Rattus norvegicus: one gene and its partner. The protein of the gene in region 1 interacts with the protein of each later gene in a pairwise test. Links are inferred from orthologs where the notes say so. Each region holds a gene or a part of one and is shown in the gene's direction. Other genes may lie near its edges.

Region 1 (3,649 bases):
GTTTCCTTCTAGGTGCTTCGTTGCCCGCACTCTCCCTGTCCTGGTGCTTCATGGGAAACAGCTAGGGGTGGGAACATGGACGACTATGGACCTGAGGGTGAAGAGTGCAAGAAATCCAGAGGCTAAGTGCTGTCACTGCTCTGTGCCTCGGTTTCCCCTTCTGTAAGCTGACGTGGTAACAGCTGTCCTGTGTTGCCCTGAGCTTTGGGGTGAGGTAAAGAGATGTACGTGGGTGACCTACAACACTGCAGAAGAGAACCCTTGCCTGTCACCTGCCCTGAGGCCCTTCCCAAGTGGGTTTTAATTCAAGGTGGCTCCGGCCTTGTCCACCTCCTCTGCCCTTCCTAGGAGCTGTTGTTAACTGTCCCACGTGGTTGTGGGTTGGGATGGAGCTCTTTGGGATCTGGAAGGACAGGGGGACAGGCTTGGGCTAGGATCATTATAGAGGAGTGTTGCCCTCTTGGGCCTGTCCCAGGGATGGTATGCATCTTCCCAGGCCTTGGGGACCACCTGCAGATTCCACACACAACACAGGGATGTAGGGTACCAAAGGTGTGGTAGCACTGTGCAGAGCCTATACTACCCAGGGAAAGAGGCCTGGCCCCTGCCCCCCACACAGGTCACAGGAGTGTCAGCTTGGAGCCTTAGACTGCACCCTCCTGACCCCCACCACTCCCACAGGTTGGGTGATTGAACTTGTCTTCTCCGTTGAGGCCATTGTGCCCAAAGCACAGGAGGGCCTCTGTGCCAATGCATACATCTGCCAATGTATGCAAGATGCCTTCCATTATGAGAACAAGGCTGAGTGTCTCTGGGAGGCTCTCATGATTGACTAGCTTGGATGTGGTAGACACGGGGTAGCTAATCCCCAAGGGAAGGCTAGTGTGAGAGGCCTGGGTATCACCCTCAAAGACTGGCATTGTTGTTCAGCAGAAGGGTGAGGACCAGCCAGCCCTTCCATCCAAGGATGTGAGGCTCACAGGTTCCTGCTATTTGAAAGGTCATTGCTGCAGGCTGGGCTCCTGCTCATTAGTAGCACCACCTGCAAACAGCCCCACTTGGGTCATTGGCAGAGGTGATGAAACTGCAGGACAACTTGTCTTCTCTAATTGGACCAGAGGCCAAGTGGAGGATATTTTCCTCTTAATAGCTCATCTGTGCTCATTAGGCCTGTGACTAGCACCCAAGGTAAATGTCAGAGGATCTGCAGGCCCTGTCTTCCAGCTTCCTGTTCTCTCTGGGTACAGAGGACACTGAGGTACCATCCATGATAAGCAGGTGGAAACAGTCAAGAGGGAAGCCTGGCCTGGTGTTAGCACACCCCATGCTGTGCCCGGGACAGACATGACTAATCAATTACAGCACACATTCATTGAATCTAGCATTGGCTTCAGCTTTTCCATGCAGCCCAGCTACGCCATGAAATATGGAGCCACTGACTACCCCTCACCCAAAAGGTGGGGGACTGTGCTGTTACCTACCATGTGGCACAAAGTCCTGCTCTAGGGTAGGTTGAAGGTCTGAGCTCAGCCTGCTGTTGCCTTGAGGAAGGACGGAATAGAAGGACTATCTTCAGACTGCTTCAGAGCTGGGACCTGGGGCTTGGATTGAGCATGATCCCTGATAGGCTAGTGGTATCAGGTTAAGCATGTTGCTTAAATAATGTCTATGTAAGGGGGCTGGGGATTTAGCTCAGTGGTAGAGCGCTTACCTAGGAAGCGCAAGGCCCTGGGTTCGGTCCCCAGCTCCGAAAAAAAGAACCAAAAAAAAAAAAAATAATGTCTATGTCAGATGACTGAGGGGAGAGCAGAAGGGGTGATTGCCTGATAGAGCATGAAGGTATCTGCTCCCCAGAAACCAGTTGTCTCCGATGGTTTGGGATTACCTGTCAGTAGGCCTCAGGCTGACAACAGGGAGTTTGTCAGCTGAGGACAGGCTGTAGGCTACCATGCGCTCTCTTCTCTGAGACAAGCAGTCACTTGTTTCCTTGCCTGTCCATTGCAGACGACGGGAAACTGTCCCTTGAGGAATTTCAACTGTTCTTCGCGGATGGCGTCCTCAATGAGAAGGAGCTGGAGGGCCTCTTCCACACCATTGATTCAGACAACACCAAGTGAGCCTGGGCTACTGTGGGGCACCCTGGGATGTGTGGGCTCCTCCCTTCTTCACAGTGCCAAGGTCCTGTTTAAGGGCAAGAGGCCTAGAACTCCCCTGACTCAATAATTCAAAAGTCAGACTTACTTGATCCTCGCTGCCAAGCTGCCTGAGCCCCGTGTGTGTGTGTGTGTGTGTGTGTGTGTGTCCCACAAAGTTTGTCTTTTCTGAGCGACCTTGGCCAAACGGGGAGAGACCCTGGGCCTGCTGCAGTATACGCAGGACTGATGGGAAGTTGGCTGTGGCCCTGCCTGCTATCTCTCCATTCAGTTCTAATCCCAGCGTGACCTCAGACACCGCTTTCCCTGTGAACCACCATCCCAAACCACCCTACAGTGTCTATGAATCCCAACTCTAGCCTGAACTCCACTTCTGTCTTTTTTTTTTTTTTTCTGGAGCTGGGGACTGAACCCAGGGCCTTGAGCTTGCTAGACAAGCGCTCTGCCACTGAGCTAAATCCCCAACCCCTGTGAATTCCACTTCTGACCTTGGAACAAAATGAACTTGTTTCTGTAACCCACTAAGAACTTGGACCTGTGACTCAGCCTCCCAGGACACCTGGCGTCCAGAGCCAGCATAAGTGTGCAGTGTCCTTCACTCATCTTTGTCTGATGCCCCTGAATTCTGCCTGGGTGGGCAACAGCCACCTGGTCACCTTCCTCTGCCCCACTGAGGTGCTGAGGACTAAAGTTTCTAGGGGTGCTAGGGCAGGTGGGATCACTTGGGGGGCCCAGAGCCTAGCGGTGATGTAGGTACATGGTTACTACCGGGCCACTTTGCAGTTTGCTTGTAAAGTGGTAGCCAGGAACTGAGGCTGGAGACCTGACAGGGTGTAATTTTCTGAGGATGTCTTTTGGTTCTCATAGTAGAGCAGGGCTCTCTGTGTCCAGGCCATCTGAGGTCTTAGCTTCTCTGCAGCCTCTTGGGCACACATTCTTGGGATGCAGAGGCAAGCGGACCTCTGAGTTCAAGGCCAGCCTGAGTGAGTTCCAGGACAGCCAGGGCTACACAGAGAAACCCTGTCTCAAAAAACAAACAAACAAACAAACAAACAAAAAGATCCAAAGAGGTTGCCCTGAAGGATGGGGTGGGGTTGGGGGATCTATCCCTATAGGGAAGGTCACAATTCTGAAGACATTCTGGATTCTTGACTCCAGTATTCCCTGAAGTAGACATAAGAAGCAACATTTCCGGTTGTCTGAGGCACTCCAAGGCAGTCGCCGGCCTTGGAATCTACAGACAACCTTTTCTCAGATGGGCATGGCATCTACCAAAAGCAGTCCTGAGCCAGGGTAGAGGCTAGGCCCAGAGAGGAGGCATCAGACCCCACACAGACCCTGCTGGTCCCTCTGCTGCAGCTTCTGGTGCTGATGCCTTCACGCACCTCCCCAGATCTGAGCAAGGACCAGCTCCTTCCCTGCTTTAGTCTAACAAGTGAAGTTCAGGGCTAGAATAGAGGCTGACCCAGAGCCCCAAGAGTCCTAGGAGGGGCAGT
Region 2 (3,649 bases), on another chromosome or scaffold:
ACCCTTTGGAGGTCAAGTGACCCTTTCACAAGGGTCACATATCAGACATCCTGCATATCAGATATTATGATATTAGTTATGATATATCATATCAGATATTAGTTATGAAATAGCAATGAAATAATCCTATGGTTGGGGGTCACCACAACTTGAGGAACTGCATTAAAGGGTTACAGGATTAGGAAGGTTGCGAACCACTGCTCCAGCCTCCTGTGAACCTGTTCATGGTAGAGTTCTTGCCACTCACTCCTGCTTGTTGCTTCCTCTCCGTCATCTCCTGGAGGCCACCTGTCCCCTGGATGCTCTTTCCCAAAAGCCTGGAGCTCATACGATGTCCCACCTAGGTGATGCTGGCTCTGGCTAGCCACCTGAGCACAGTGGAGTCTGAGAAGCAGAAGCTGCGGGCCCAAGTACGGCGGCTCTGCCAGGAGAATCAGTGGCTCCGGGACGAGCTGGCGGGCACTCAGCAGCGGCTGCAGCGCAGCGAGCAGGCTGTAGCACAGCTGGAGGAAGAGAAGAAGCACCTGGAGTTCTTAAGGCAGCTGCGCCAGTATGACGAGGATGGGCACAGCATGGTGAGTGTGTGAGCCAGCGTTTGCTGGGACTGAAGGCAGGGCAAGCGTCCCACTGTCCCGCAGTGAATGTCAATGCCTTTCGCGTTTCCACTTGAAAGGACTTTATTTTCAGCCTTGGTACCAGCTCCAGATAACAGGGGTCAGGGGACGATCTTGACTTGTTCCGTCGACTTAAGTCTCATGTGTACGCCCCTGGAGAGTGGGCCGACAGTTCTTGTTCTCACAGCTAACATTATGTGGAACAAGACGGACAGTCAGACAGCTCGAACCCAGAATCCTAAGGCCTACAGTTAGGGAGAGCACAGCCCACTTTAGCAAGAGACTCCCCTACAGTCTTCTCTCAAGCTCCATGAAATTCAGCCCTGGAGCTGGCGTTTATGTATCCCTGTGCCCTATGAGTGCAGAGAGAAGGAGACTAGGAAAAGTCCCTGTCTTCTCAGGCCTGTAATGTCTGCAGAACTGGGCTCACACAGGAGGCTCGGATGTGACTGAACGAAGCAGCAAGCACACAGTGTGGACATGGCTCAGCCAGAGTACAGGGACTGCCACGTGGATAGGTCCCTGAGGGCTGGCATGGTCAGAAGCCTTCAGAGAGGAGGTCAGGTACAGAAAAGACTGCAGGGCTGGAGTGCTATTCTGCCCATAGACGGTGAAGAGATAATTTGCCTGGGACACATGGGCGAGCCTGAAGAAGAAAAGTACATTTTCCCTAAGCCCACACTGACCAAAGGGAATAGTCAGCCCAAGGCAGAGCTAGACACTTGGGGTACGTGTCAGTGAGCACAGACATACTCCTTCCCCTCAGGAGAGACAGGATAGACATATAATCAGTGTAAGTGCACAGGGACCGCCATGGCTATAATTACGAGAGGTATCTGAGAGAGGGAGAATAGGGTGTTAGAGAGAGACCTTTATGGATGAGAAATAGAGTTGTGCGATTTTGTCTGGGACATCCCTGGCTTTCACATCCAGGAGGCCTGTGCATGACTGGGTCAGCTGCTGGTCTTTTCCAGGGGCAGAAGCCTTCAGGCCCATTGCTTGGTGCTTTTGTGGCTTAGAAGAAGCCCGATGAGGCCACTGGGGTCTGGCATGCTGTCCCTTTCCTTTCAGGAGGAGAAGGAGGGAGATGCTAGCAAAGATTCCCTGGATGACCTCTTCCCCAATGAGGAGGAGGAGGACTCCAGCAACGACTGTGAGTCTGCCTGTGGGGCTGCAGGGTGAGGGCAGCAGGAAGCTGCTTCAAGCTATGGCCCAGTCTGAGTAGGATCTCCACATCCAGAGATAAGTTCCCCACTTCCTTTGGAGACTGGGTTCCTTCCCTCCCCGGTACCCGTCAGCATTTACTGAGTGTGCTGTGCACTAGGGTTATCAAGATGAAAAGGATGCTGGTCCCACTAGTGAGTTCACAGTCTAGCAGAAAATAACCCCGGGCTGGAGCCGCAGGCATTCCTCAAGCCTTTTGTATTTGTGCTTTGCTGGACACCCCAGCAAATGTTAGTTGAGTGATTTACTAAGAGAATAGATAGGATTGTGGGGGGCATTGGTGCAAGGGTGTGGTTAAGGGAATAGCTGTGGGGCGGAGTCTCCTTTGAGAACCTGGCAAGGAGCAGCCAAGAGAAAGGGTGGGCAGAGGGGAGGGCAGGCAGCAAGGGAAAAGGAGGAGTCCTCTGAGGAAATGCCCTGTCTTTTTTGGGATGAGTTAGTGTCCCGTGGTCAGGGTGCTGCAGCGGCCCAGCAGGGTGGATATGAGATCCCAGCAAGGTTGCGGACCCTGCACAACCTGGTCATCCAGTATGCAGCTCAGGGTCGCTATGAGGTGGCTGTGCCACTCTGCAAGCAAGCGCTAGAGGACCTGGAGCGCACATCTGGCCGAGGTCACCCTGACGTGGCTACTATGCTCAATATCCTGGCTTTGGTGTATCGGTGAGTGCCACTGTCCTCTGTTGTCTATAGCAGCTCACATCCTACCTTCCTCTCCTCTCTGCTGGGCCTCCCAGGTATACCTTGCAAGGGTTTGTCCTCCACACTGGAACCCTCACTTTCTCTGATCCTGAAGCCCCCACCTCAGAGAATACTTATCTCTCAGGCTCTCTGGAGAGGGTGTGTGTGTCTTATTCTGTTTGTGGCTTCCTCTTGAGATGGCGGTGTCTGCAGCCTGGTGTGTTGGGCCTTTCGTCCTGTCCTAACAAGCTTCCTGACATCAGGGGTCCCCAGTCTCTCAGTGTGCCTCTGTTCTCTCGGTCTCTGGAAGGAAGTGAGGAAGGAGAAGGTATGGGGACAGAGTTCATGCTGATGCCCATCCTTTCCGCTGCTTTTCAGGGACCAGAATAAATACAAGGAGGCTGCTCATCTGCTGAACGATGCCCTCAGCATCCGGGAGAGCACCCTGGGCCGGGACCACCCAGCCGTCAGTATCCCACCCACTCCCTCCCCTCTGTCTCTGCTGTCTTGGCCTCTCAGTCCTCGTGTGCTGCTCTCACCACTCACCACATGCTTAGGAAGGAGGCTTAAGAACTTTCAGGCTCTGTCTAGTGAACTCAGTGGTTCTCAGTTCTCTGAGGCCCAGGGACTCCTTTTTATGTTGCTTGCATTTTATATTAATGTTTAGTTTTTTTTTTTTTTTTTGTTCTTTTTTTCGGAGCTGGGGACCGAACCCAGGGCCTTGTGCTTCCTAGGCAAGCGCTCTACCACTGAGCTAAATCCCCAACCCCTTTTTTTTTTCTTTTCTTTTTTCTTTTTTTCAGAGCTGGGGACCGAACCCAGGGCCTTGCGCTTCCTAGGCAAGCGCTCTACCACTGAGCTAAATCCCCAACCCCTTTTTTTTTTCTTTTCTTTTTTCTTTTTTTCAGAGCTGGGGACCGAACCCAGGGCCTTGCGCTTCCTAGGCAAGCGCTCTACCACTGAGCTAAATCTCCAACCCCCAAAATGACAGGTTTAATTGAGACATTTTCTTTCAAAAAGTCCTTTTCCCTCTATTTCTTTTTATGCGTCTGGGTAGTTTACTGGCATGTATATCTGTGTAGCACGTATGTGTACAGCACCTATAGAGGCCAGAGGAGAGCACCGTATATGGG

Evidence for each region.
Region 2: the proteins of Necab2 (region 1) and Klc4 interact in binary tests that used the Homo sapiens proteins (3 or more experiments, as listed by UniProt). The two-hybrid records come from large-scale screens. The link is inferred for Rattus norvegicus from reciprocal best matches to the Homo sapiens genes NECAB2 and KLC4.

The regions. Positions count from the first base shown.
Region 1 is NC_086037.1:64,412,964-64,416,612, forward strand, and holds part of Necab2 (N-terminal EF-hand calcium-binding protein 2), read left to right. Parts: intron 1-2,004; coding exon 2,005-2,113; intron 2,114-3,649. UniProt on the Homo sapiens protein: May act as a signaling scaffold protein that senses intracellular calcium.
Region 2 is NC_086027.1:21,838,052-21,841,700, forward strand, and holds part of Klc4 (kinesin light chain 4), read left to right. Parts: intron 1-344; coding exon 345-575; intron 576-1,685; coding exon 1,686-1,767; intron 1,768-2,278; coding exon 2,279-2,498; intron 2,499-2,894; coding exon 2,895-2,982; intron 2,983-3,649.